2 linked regions of the Macaca mulatta genome follow. The protein of the gene in region 1 binds, or shares a complex with, the protein of each later gene. Links are inferred from orthologs where the notes say so. Each region holds a gene or a part of one and is shown in the gene's direction. Other genes may lie near its edges.

Evidence for each region. Proteins that work in one complex are often made in the same cells at the same time.
Region 2: the proteins of STX12 (region 1) and VTI1A are in contact, whole or in part, in a crystal structure (PDB 2NPS), measured with the Rattus norvegicus proteins. The link is inferred for Macaca mulatta from reciprocal best matches to the Homo sapiens genes STX12 and VTI1A. Residues at the interface, in NP_075228.2 of Rattus norvegicus: Glu185, Ile188, Gln189, Leu191, Glu192, Ile195, Leu196, Val198, Asn199, Phe202, Lys203, Leu205, Ala206, Ile209, His210, Gly213, Ile216, Asp217, Glu220, Val223, Glu224, Ser226, Glu227, Val230, Glu231, Ala233, Ser234, Asp235, Leu237, Gln238; in XP_038945999.1 of Rattus norvegicus: Arg131, Arg134, Ser135, Arg138, Leu139, Ala141, Gly142, Ile145, Ala146, Glu148, Thr149, Ile152, Gly153, Met156, Asn159, Leu160, Asp163, Arg166, Arg169, Ala170, Arg173, Leu174, Glu176, Thr177, Asn180, Leu181, Lys183, Ser184, Ile187, Leu188.

What each region holds. Positions count from the first base shown.
Region 1 is NC_133406.1:213,165,642-213,172,150, reverse strand, and holds the start of STX12 (syntaxin-12), read left to right. Parts: upstream 1-2,367; 5' UTR 2,368-2,381; coding exon 2,382-2,499; intron 2,500-6,509. UniProt on the Homo sapiens protein: SNARE promoting fusion of transport vesicles with target membranes. Together with SNARE STX6, promotes movement of vesicles from endosomes to the cell membrane, and may therefore function in the endocytic recycling pathway.
Region 2 is NC_133414.1:124,808,079-124,813,935, forward strand, and holds part of VTI1A (vesicle transport through interaction with t-SNAREs homolog 1A), read left to right. Parts: intron 1-1,510; coding exon 1,511-1,581; intron 1,582-2,229; coding exon 2,230-2,291; coding exon of another isoform or gene 2,292-2,295; exon of another isoform or gene 2,296-2,302; intron 2,303-5,857. UniProt on the Homo sapiens protein: V-SNARE that mediates vesicle transport pathways through interactions with t-SNAREs on the target membrane. These interactions are proposed to mediate aspects of the specificity of vesicle trafficking and to promote fusion of the lipid bilayers.

The sequences.
Region 1 (6,509 bases):
GCACAGATTTACTGCTATGAGAGATGATCGCTACAACCTCCGCCTCCCAGGCTTAAGCTACACTCCTGCCTCAGGCTCCGGAGTAGCTGGGACTATAGGCTCAGGCCACTGTGCCCAGCTAATTTTTGCATTTTTGGTAGAGACATGCTTTCGCCATTTTGCTCAGGCTGGTCTCGAACTCCCGAGCTCAAGCAACAATCAGCCTGCCTCAGCCTCCCAAAGTGCTGGGATTCCAGTAGTGAGCCACCGCACCCAGCCTTAAAACGATTTTTATTGTACATGGAGAAAGAAAACAATATTTTTAATTCCTATAAGAAAAATACCTTTACTGAACTTCACTTTATATAGTGTGAAATGTAAATTTAAAAATTATCAGGACTATCATATAGGTTAAAAAGTGCAATTTACATGACTTGCTATAAGATTTGACATAAAACTACAGATTCTAAGAAACAGTAAGGTTGTATAATAATAACCAAAACAGGCCGGTGCGGTGGCTCATGCCTGTAATCCCAACACTTTGGGAGGCCAAGGCGGGTGGATCACCTGAGGTCAGGAATTCAAGACCAGCCTGACCAACATGGTGAAACCCCATCTCTACTGAAAATACAAAAATTAGCCGGGCTGTGGTGGTGCATGCCTGTAATCCCAGCTACTCGGGAGGCTGAGGCAGGAGAATTGCTTGAACCCAGGAGGCAGAAATTGCAGTGAGCCAAGACTGCGCCATTCGACTCCAGCCTGGGCAACACAGCAAGACTCCATTTCAAAAATAAAATAAAATAACCAAAACAAGAGCCCCCGGATGTCATCCATCTCTTTCTAGAGAGAGGGAAAAAAATGCTCTCAAATTCTCCAACGAAAAATAGAGATAGCCACCCTTAAAAAATCCTAAGGCTGGTGGTGATCACTTGAGCCCAGGAGTTCGAGACCAGCCTGGACAACATGGCCAAACCCCATCACTACAAAAAATAGAAAAATTAGCTGGGCGTGGTGGCGCACGCCTGTAGTCCCAACTACTTGGAGGCTGAGGTAGGAGGATCTCTTGAGCCCAGGAGAAGGAGGTTGCAGTGAGCGGAGATCATGCCACTGCACTCCAACCTGTGTGACAGAGCGAAACCCTGTCTCAAAAAAAATAAAATAAAATAAAGAAAAAACCCTAAGGCCATATACAGGCTCATTCACTTGGGGTCTCCTTTCACCCAGGCAAGCAGCTTTCCGTCTTTGCATTTTCCAAAGACTGCAAAGCAGGCTGGGGTGGGGTGGAGAACACAGGAAACAGCCAGTTCCCCTTCACTTCTCACCATCTTGATCTCCTCCCAAACCAAAATCCTATGTCTTTCCTTTTAACATACGCTTACAGAAATGCAGTCTTCTGTAGGAAAATTGAGGTCATGCATTCCAAAGTATTTAAGGGTATGATTTTTAAATTTTAGGAATCTAGTTCTCCAAGAAATCCCGGTTTGGGATATAGATGAACGAGCTATTTGGGAGAGATTTCGATGAGAATGAATTTTAGAGAAGTAGCAAGGTGAGGAGAGAGTCAGCTTAGCGTTTGGCTTTTGCAGTCAAACTTCAGCAAGGCGAAGTAACCTCGCTGGTCTTAATTTTCTCATCGGTAATAGGGAAAATAATAATGCTAACATTGATGAGTTACTTTACTTCAATATTTAAAAAACCGACTCTCCGCTATCTATTCTAATGATAAAAATGTAGACAGAGCATCGTCCCTTGCTGTGAAAAATCTTATGAACAAGTGAATTGCGGTGAGGATTCACACATAGTATGTGCTTAATAAACATTATTATTTTATTGTTTAGATTAGAAGAGGGGTGGAGGGAGAAATGAAAGCGGTTTGGAAACCCCAAATACTACCAAAACCCTGGGGACGGAAGTAGAGAGGAATTTCGGGTTACGATTTGGTTCCTGGTCTGAGTTTCAACGTTGAATACTCCCATATTTGGGCCTGAATTCTCAAAACAGAATAGGATGTAAGGGCTGAGATCATCTGGTACAGTTTTATGCAAATCGAAAATTCTTGCCTCTTGTCAATGTGCCCTGGCGAGAAACAACACCTCCACCCAAGCTCATCCAATCTCAGCCCCAACTAGGTGACGTCATCTCTCCGCCCCGCAACCCCCAAGCCCCAGGCAGTCCTGTCTCTAAGATACAGTCCCAGCCCCAGTCCCAGCGGCGCCTGCGCACTTTGAACAGGGGCGGGGAGGACGCGTGCGCGCTGCGTGGGGGCGGGACTAGTGCGCACGCAGCCTTAGCTTCTTCCCCGCCCTTGCTCTTCCCAGTTTCTCCGTCAGCCTGCGGGTCCCGGCTGGCGGCTGCTTCCGGTAGGAGAGTGGTGTAGGGCGAGCAGGTCTCAGCTCCTCATCATGTCATACGGTCCCTTAGATATGTACCGGAACCTGGGGCCCTCAGGGCCCCAGCTCCGGGACTTCAGCAGCATCATCCAGACGTGCAGCGGCAACATCCAGCGGATCAGCCAAGCCAGTGAGCCGGGGTACCGAGCTGGGGGGCGGGAGCTGTCCCCGGGACAGGCCTGGGTGAGACTGTCGGGTCGCGGAGCCCGGCTGGGACTACGGCCGAGGCCACACCTGGGGCTGTCTCGGGCTGTCCACCCTGGGGGCGGTGGGCTTGCCTCCCCCAGTCTGTCAGGCCCGGGCTGCCCGAGGGTCCCCGGCCCCAGCTGAAGCTTGAGCTGCTTCTCTGGAGTTCTGCCCCCACGGTTCTGGGACCAAAACAGCCCGAGGGTGGGAAGGGGAGTGTGTGTCATCTCGAGAGCTGTGAGTGCGTTGACTTGGCGCAGTGGTCAGCCGAGTTTCTCCTGTCATCCACCTTCCTCCCCACCCACCTCGCTTTCCTCTTAGGCCAGTTTGGATGGGGTTGTTTACTGATTTAGGCTTTAGGTTTACATTCTGCTCAGCCCCTGGCTCCTCGGAAATCAGCAACTTTCAATTAAGGGAAGTGGAGAGTGCATGTGTTTGGATGACTTCATACACAGTTCTTCCTGTAATGAATTCGGAAATCAGACACAATGACTGGTATTTGAGAGGTGGGATGACTTCTGTTTTAATAAAGATAATTCACCAGCAACATTTCAACTTACATTATTTTGTCTTTTGTAACAAAGCATTGGGGTGTATTTTTGGATTTCAGGCAGATGAGGCTTTTGTTTTCCTTCCCTACTTAGCTGCTCTTGAACAAATCTGGTACACAGGGAAGCTAAGAGACTTAGCCACAACCACAGAGCAAGTAATGCATGGTAGAGTTGTTGGTGGAATTCAGAATGGTATTGCTTGTCTTAAAACTCCCTCCTCCCCATTAGGGTCTGAGTGAAACTGTAGCTGAATGAGTCAAATACAGGGTGTTTCTTGGGCTTGAAAATCATCTTGGAGCCTTATAAACAGGAGATCAGCAACAGCTTTACTTGGAAAGAATGGTGGTCATCATCCTTATTGTTTATTATTGTGTTTTGTGAGCTTGGTGTACTCTGTTAATAGGTAGAACTAGTTAGTCCTGAATTACAATTCTGTATTTTAAATAATATCACTTTGCTTTAGTTTTTAAACTTTAAAAAATTTTTCTTTTTTGTAGAGATGAAGTCTTGCTGTGTTGGCCAGGCTGGTCTCAAACCCCTGGGCACAAGCACTTCTCCCACCTCAGCCTCCCAAAGTGCTGGGATTACAGGCGTGAGCCACTGTGCCCAGCCTAATTTTTTTAATTTAAAAAAATTAAATATTTTAAATTTGTTTTTAAGAGATGGAGTCTAGCTCTGTCACCCAGGCAGAGTGCAGTGATCTGAGTGAAGTAGAGCGATCCTAGCTGGCTATAACCTTGAATTCCTGATCAGCTTGCTGAGTCGCGAGGACTACAAGGATGCATCTACCATGCCAGGCTAATTTTTAAATTTTTTGTAGGGATGGGGTCTCACTATGTTGCCCAGGCTCACTTTGCTTTTAAATCTAAATGTATATTGTAGAATTTGAGAAGTTTCTGATCAAAAGCAGTTGAGACTCTGGAAGTGAAAGGAAGGGTATGTGACCTCTTAAAATCCAGAACTAAAAAAAAATAATATGACCACTGGTTAGAAAGTGTAGTACTTTTTGTTCCAGTTTCCTTTTGTGAAGGAGCTGTAATACAGGTTAGATCAGAAAATTCTAGTTCAAGGCTGAAATTTTCTTGTTGAAGCTAAATCTGATTTTAATATCTATTTGCAAAATATTCATTCAACTTGTATTCAATATTATATATATCATATATAATATTATATTTAATATATAATATAAACATGAAGATGGATAGATGGATACATGTTGAATGAATATTATATACATGCTGATATATATATATATATATATAAAACCAGAATACTCCCAAAGGTAGATCCAACATACATTTTAAAATTTACATTTAAATTTTTGTTTTGAGACAGGGTCTCACTCTGTCACCCAGGCTGGAGTGCAGTGGCATGATCTCAGCTCACTGCAGCCTCAGCTTCCCTGGCTCAAGCAGTCCTCCTGCCTCAGCCCTACAAGTAGCTGGGACTACAGGTGTGCACCACCATGCCCGGCTAATTTTTTTTTTTTTCTTTTGAGATGGAGTCTTGCTGTGTCGCCCAGGCTGGAGTGCAGTGGCACAATCTCCGCTCACTGCAAGCCCCGCCTCCTGGGTTCACACCATTCTCCTGCCTCAGCCTCCTGAGTAGCTGGGACTACAGGCGCCCACCACCACGCCCGGCTAATTTTTTTTTTTTTTTTTTTTTTTTTTTTTTTGAGACGGAGTCTCGCTCTGTCGCCCAGGCTGGAGTGCAGTGGCCGGTTCTCAGCTCACTGCACGCTCCGCCTCCCGGGTTTATGCCATTCTCCTGCCTCAGCCTCCCAAGTAGCTGGGAGACGGGGTTTCACCGTGTTAGCCAAGATGGTCTCGATCTCCTGACCTCGCGATCCGCCCGTCTCAGCCTCCCAAAGTGCTGGGATTACAGGCTTGAGCCACCGCGCCCGGCCAATTTTTTGTAGTTTTAGTGGAGACGGGGTTTCACCGTATTAGCCAGGATGGTCTCGATCTCCTGACCTCGTGATTCGCCTGCCTTGGCCTCCCAAAGTGCTGGGAATACAGGCATGAGCCACTGCGCCTGGCCCATGCCTGGCTAATTTTTATATTTTTTGTAGAGATGGAGTTTCACCATGTTGTCCAGGCTGGTCCTGAACTCCTGTTCTCAAGTGATCCACCCACCTTGGCCTCCCAATAGGCCAGGATTACACATGTGAGCCACCACGCCTAGCCTTCAACATACATTTATTTGAGTATGTAGTAAGTGTAAGAACTGGCATGGATCTTTCAACAGAGAACCTGCAGAGTACATAAGCAAAATATAAAGTTAAAAGGGATTGGTGCTATAAAAGACATATAAATAACATGAAGGTATTCTGGGGAGAGAGAGATTGTTTTTAATTGAGAAGGCATTATGGCATTTGAGTTATGTCTGGAAAGAGGATGGAAAGATTTGGACCTTTGAAGGTAAAGAGAAGACATTCCAGGAGGGAATAAAATGAACAGGCATCATAGTGGGGAAGCATAGGGTATATCTAGAAGAGTAATTTAATTTGGCTAGAGTGGTGGATTCCAGAAAGTAGTGGGAAAAAAAGGACTGAAAGGTAAATTGGGGCCCAAACATGAAGGACGTTAAATGCTAAGCTAAGGGGCTTGGATTTAATTCTTTAGGAAAGTGTGAGTTGAATTCAAAGGGAGAGAGACTGGAATCAGAGATACCAGTTAGGGCTGTGAACATGAAGAGAAAGGAAACGATAGGAGAGGTTTCCTTGGTGATAGAATTGGTAAGATTTAGCTATTGATTGGGCATTGGCCCCAAGGGGATCATTTAAGTCAACTGTTAGTAATATTAATAGCTAACGTTTGAGTACATACTGTGTTCCAGGCAGTATGAAAAGTGCTTTATATGCATTATCTTATAACAACTCTGAAGCACCAGGATCATTTCCATGTTATGTATTAGGAAACAAACTATAAAGGTTAAGTAATTGCCCTGCTAACAAATGACAATATCTGAATTTGAAACTAGGTCTGTCTCTTATGACCAGCAATTTGTCTTTTTATAACTTTTTATTAATATTACAGTTCTGGGCTGTGCTCAGTGGCTCACACCTGTAATCCCAGCACTTTAGGAGGCCGAGGAGGGAGGATTACTTGAGGCCAGGAGTTTGAGATTAGCTTGGACAATATAGCGAGACCCCATCTCTAAAAAAAATTTTTTTAAATTAGCCAGATGTGGTAGCATGTGCCTGTAGTCCTAGCTACTTAGGAGGCTGAGGCTGGAGACTCTCTTGAGCCCAGGATTTGGAGGCTGCAGCGAGCTGTGATTATGCCACTGTACTCCAGCCTGGGTGACAGAGTAATATTTTGTCTCTAAATAAATAAATAAAATTAAAAATAAATAAATCAATAACAGTGCTATAGCAGTTAACACTTCAGGTTTACAAGTA
Region 2 (5,857 bases), on another chromosome or scaffold:
GAATAAAATTGCAGCTCAAGTGGGCTACAGCAGGACTAAGATAGGAGAGTGGCAAAGTCATAATAGCCCATTGATGTTCTTGATTGAATGATGATCAATCAATCATCATTCAATAAATGCTTATTATTGTTGTAGGCCAGTCACTGTGCTAAATATTGTAACTGAATTACCTTATTAAACTCTTACAACAAACTCATGATATAGTACTATTATTATTAATATTCCCATTTATGGATAAACTGAGGCACAATGAAGTTAGCCACACAGCTAGTAAGGGCCAGCACTGGGATTTTGGCTCAGGCAGTGTGAGTTCACAGCCAAAGCTCTCAATGTGGCCTAACTACTGCTCTACATTTTTAGGGTGTCCTTTAAAAAAAAGCCTAGCAGTGTACATGTATGAGCCAAATAACTAGCATGGTGACTTCTTACTGACTTCATTAAATTATTTCTTATTATTATAATAGGTGCTTGTTTGAATGCTTCTATATGTCTATAAGCCAGAGATGATTGTTGTTATAGGTATGAGTAAAGAGACAATGCCAGAGGGAAAAGGAGAGAGAGATGTAGAACAAGGTAGTCAGATAGGTTGCCAAGATTATAAGAGAGGCATCCTTCTAGTATGGAATAAGGCACCTCCCAGGTAATGGGGAATGAGTCTGAAAACGATTTATTCAAGGCAGCTGGTTATTTATGAGGTCAAGCCATACCTACTGTCTTCTAAAAGGGTCTGCAGATTGGAGAAGAGACTGCCTAGTGTCAACCAAATAAGATGATCATGGCACGGGAAAACCTCATTAAAACTCAGCAGTATGGCTTTTTAATGAATGTTCTAAATTGCCTATAACAGTATTAGGGTTTCAGAGTTCTGGGGTGAAAACACTGTCTCCAGCATAAGCTCTCTTCTACTTGAGAAGGAATGCACCTCACCTTGAGTTGACTCAAGTACCTACAGCTGCTGATAACACATTAAATGAGCCCTTGCCTTGAAGAGAGCAGAAGCCTAGAGACAGTTCACTACCAATAAGCATATGTAGGTGAGCGTATGAGGATTACTTGTGCAGGGCGAATACACTAAAATTAAAATTGTTCTAAATGGAGTCTGACATACATGTGCAAAATGAAAGGGGAAAGGGAGAGCAGAATCATTAACATTACTTATAACCTGTAAAAACCAACAGCTAAATTCCATGATGACAAAATAGACTAATGGACATCAGATCTCCTCCACCTTTGCTGACATTTGCTGGAGTGGCCTGGGCAAGACATCATCTCTAAGTCATTATTCTCATGTTGGTTATGTTCTATAGGTCAAATATCTAATTATACCTAAGATAAATAGACACATTTATCAAATACTGTTTATATTTTTCAAATACATGAATTGAAATACGTGTCTAATGTATAATGCATGCATGCTACTTTAACATTTTATGTCATTTGGGTACTCCTGAGAGTTATTCTCATGTGCACTCCGAGTCATTTTTCCTTACTCAGATTTTCTTTTCCATAGAGCAAATTGGTCAGGAGATGTTGGAAAACCTTAGTCATGACAGAGAAAAGATACAGCGAGCACGTGAAAGAGTAAGTACAAGTGATATAGTTTTTTCACATATTCAGTAAATGAAGACATAAATGAAAGGCATTGGGACATAAACAGTAGCAATTAGGTAGTTATATGTATCTAAGGTGAAAGAGGGTGTAAGGTCTGTGGAAAGGAAAAGAAAGAGAGTGACATGGAGCAAATAGCAGCCGACTCTATGTCCCCATCCCAGAATGCTCCCAGGTGGGTATTTTATTTACTTCTTATAGAGGAGAAGGTCACTGAGGGAGATTTTGGAGTATGTTCATCTTTTAGAGTGAAACTATAGAATTATTGGTGGTCATCTTTTCTCAATTCATATTATTTTTATGTTTTTAGGACTGCACATTCATAAGTTGGAGATGAATTACCAAATGTTTATGAAACTTTTTCAGCCTGTGCTTTGCTTTTATATCCAGTTCTAGTATCCAGCTTAAAGCTCCCAAGATTACCTCTCATGTGTCATTCTCCAAATATAAGAATTTTCCATGTTTGTGTAGCTGTCAGAAATGTATTTATTTTTGTATATTTGAACATTTTTATTGTTTGGATTTTCTACCGTGAAATAAATTGTCACTTGCCATGCACTTTAGAAATAGTCTAATTGCATGAACTTTTGTTTTGTTTTAACATTGCTGTTCTTCTTGTAGCTTCGGGAAACAGACGCTAATTTGGGAAAAAGCTCCAGGATTCTGACGGGGATGTTGCGAAGGTAAGAGCAAGGTAGGGACCCATCTTTCTCTCTGTCTCTTTTTAAAACTATTATGTTTTCATTCAATTGCAACGGGGCATATTACATGCTTTTAAGCTTCTGCTCTTAGTGCCCTGTGTCAGGACCCGTTTGAAATAATAAAGCACTGATATTAACTCTTGTTTGGACAGGGACACATAGTAACACAGATTAGAGAGAAGGCTTGAGCTAGGGGGGTAACCTGAAGCTATGGAAAAAATTAGGGTTAGACATGAAGTGTTTTTTCATAGCCTGAGGAAGGCCCCATGGCAGGAGCAGGCTGATTTTATTTTCTATTTTGATGGCCTCCTTCTTATGGAGGGAATGCAGACCTACCATTTTCAGGAGCACAGTTGCTGTTAGTTTTGCTCTGTGTTGCCTTGTTTTCATTTCTTTAAGTGACACGGTTTGGGGAAACATTTCTGTTTTATGTATACACTGAAAGATGATTTATAAAACGTCAAGATTATCTGAATAATATGTGCTAACAAACAAATGTTCATGTTTTATATGTGTAACTCAACCTTGATTGATGAAAAATATGCTAAATAGTATGAGAAAATAAATGAATGAATGCAGGTAATGTTCTTATAAGTACATTCAGTACAAAATTATTTCACATTCAGAATCTACCACATAAGAATATCATCTAGCATGACTGTCAGTTTGGAACTGTGGATAGAAAAGTGAATGAGAAACATTGAGAATGGCCTCTGGAATAGCTTAATTAGAATTTTGAAGAAGGAAATCTTTATAGTTGATACTATAAAGACAACCATCTAAAAATAACTAAAGTCTTCTTTGATCACGTATCCATATACAATAGTTTGCTAAAAGTATGTTTGCCGTGTTACAGATTTATTACATAAGAATCAATCAAATGTCTAGTGGTTTGGTCTTCAAGACTGTTAAGATTTTTCTAAGCAGCCTGACCAGTAGCAAGCTTAAAGTTCCTGGGACATTTCCAGCCAAGGCTTGCATAATATGACATTCCTTCTCATTTTCTTGGACCCTGACTCCCAACTCAGAATCATAAGCCATCACATTCTCTGATTAAGAGTACTAGGTAAATGGCCTAAGAAAAACTCAGAATTCAGAGAGAAGGGTAGTGGTGATTGAAAGGAATGCTTCAGTGCCTATAGACAATAAAAAAGAAAGGAAGGGGAGGGAAAAACCTCTGTTGCTTTCCTGGGAGGGCTCCTGCGTCGTGAGCTGTAACGAATATTCTGCATATGTCTCCATTTTGTCAAATCTCATTAAAGAGTCCTCCTGCTTTATGTCAATTGAGCTGTCCAGAAATCATTCATCATTTTTAGTGTAAAAAAAATGATGTGGTTATTTAAATAATATCATATTAATGTTAAAGTTCAGCTGTCATTTAATGGTATGGCTTAATCAGATGTAGCATTTAGGAAAAATAGTTTATGCGGGCTCCACGTGGCTTTCAGGTTGGCAGATTCAAATAAGGATTTATGGGTTTCGAAACCCATGTATTTCTGTCCATGTTTCTGCTTGATGTACCTCACCCTTTAGTGCAGGACACTGCAGACAGTTATTTCAACAAATAAAGCATCTCCTCATATTGTGTTTGAATAAATTTGCAAGTCATTTAGAGAGGGCGAAGCACAAACAACTTCGACAACCTTTGACTGGGCTTTCTGTAGGGAAATCATAATAACGTGGTTGTTTCAGAAGCCTACGGAAGAAAATTACTCTGGTGAAATCTACATGGGGTTCTCTTTGTAAGCAAACTCAGTCAATCACTGACTCATCTTCTTTTGGGATGTGTCTAGAGTATGAACAGAAATAAAAATTCCCAGATGGACATCACCTTGCTACATCTGAACCAAGGGTACGCTTAAGTCCACCTGTTCATATGCATGACAATGTTTTTCACTAGGCACAGCTGGGATCTTGGTATCAGCCAGGATATTCAGATATTTTCAACCAATGCCTTGACCTGGCAATGGTCTCTGGGGACCAAATGCAGTGGTGGTTTTGTTTTAGTTTCTAATTACTGCCCCATATGATATACAATGTATTTTGGACTTGGGAAAAGGTACAAACATTTTACCAACCTCTCTGCTTCATTATTTTGGTTATCTCATGGAAAAGCTCTCTGCAGAGAAATAGAGGCAGGGTTTATGTACCAAAGCCTCTTATTGAATGCTCTGATTTTGCTTTCTCTGTTACATCCCTCCCATTCATTCATATGGCTTTCGCTTCCAGCCCTGGTGAGCTTGTATTTCAGAAAGAAAAGCCACATTCTCTTACTATTCTTCTTACCAAAACTGCATAGCTATGTCGTGTGTCAGCAAGCGCTTCTGATTTAGGAAATGCTATGATATTGAATTGTGCTCATCTGCCACCTTCACAAATGTGTAAAAGAAATGAATGTCCTCATTGTGCAGTGCGAGCATTTACCTGCATATAACATAAGCTTAATTATTTTCATATGATAAATTCTGTGTGACTGAAAATAGTTAAATATTCTGTAGTATACCAAACCAAGGAATTGCTTTGTTTAAAAGAAATATTGCAGGTTATTTTTTAATTCTTTTAAACCTTGATTGTTCTCAGATTTGTAACGTGAGCAAAAATGGCTTGGCATGGCTCCTCATTTGAGCCATTTTACGTATGGTCTGTTGTGAAGACAGGTGAAAACACTGTTCCATTGGTACCAAGATCTGTGCATATGTCCACTTGATTATCTGTAAAACTGACCAAAAGGAGTTGGGGAAATCAAAATGAGTAAGCAACAAAATTAAGTTTATAAAATCCAGCAGCCACTAAATAATCATCTACCACTCATGCTTTTTTATCTTTTTTTAAACTTCAAATAAGATAAACATCTATTTCCTTCCTTCTTTCCTTTCTTCTTTTCTTTATTCTGCTTATTCATTTCCTTAGTAAATATTTACTGTCTGTACACCAGGGCTGGGGATCCTGAAATGAACCCAATTTTATCCTCACTTTCACAGTACTTTAGTGTAGTAGAAGACATATGCATAAAAATGTACCATGGAAATTCACAAAATTAACAGATTCTCAAGGCATCTATTAAAGATTCCACAACTCCAGTTAGTCCTTGCTGGTCATTAAAAGGGACACGAGGAAAACAAATAACTAATAAAAAAAAAATATGAGTTAAATGGCTATAAAGCCAACATGTTTGGAAAAAAATAGAGAAATAGAAAATGGCATATGGAATCATTACAAACAAATTTTGAAAAGAACTAAGGTATGCAAAAAAATTGACATATAATATGTAATTTAGTGAGATAGCAACTGATTCAACCAAAAAGAAATTGCTCTTTGTGTAAACACGCCATATTACCAAAAGGAAGAAAACAAAAGAGAAAATTAGTCAATTCAAAGTTATAATAGTAAAAGTCCACATCAGAACACAGCTATGACTGATTTCCTGGAAAGTAATTTTTCTTCTATTCTGACATAAGATGGAGAGTTATCAAGGGACAAACTGTTCATTTCCTAACTCTGTAGACAGAGTTTACATAAAGTAGAATTCAGATAATAATGAAAATGGT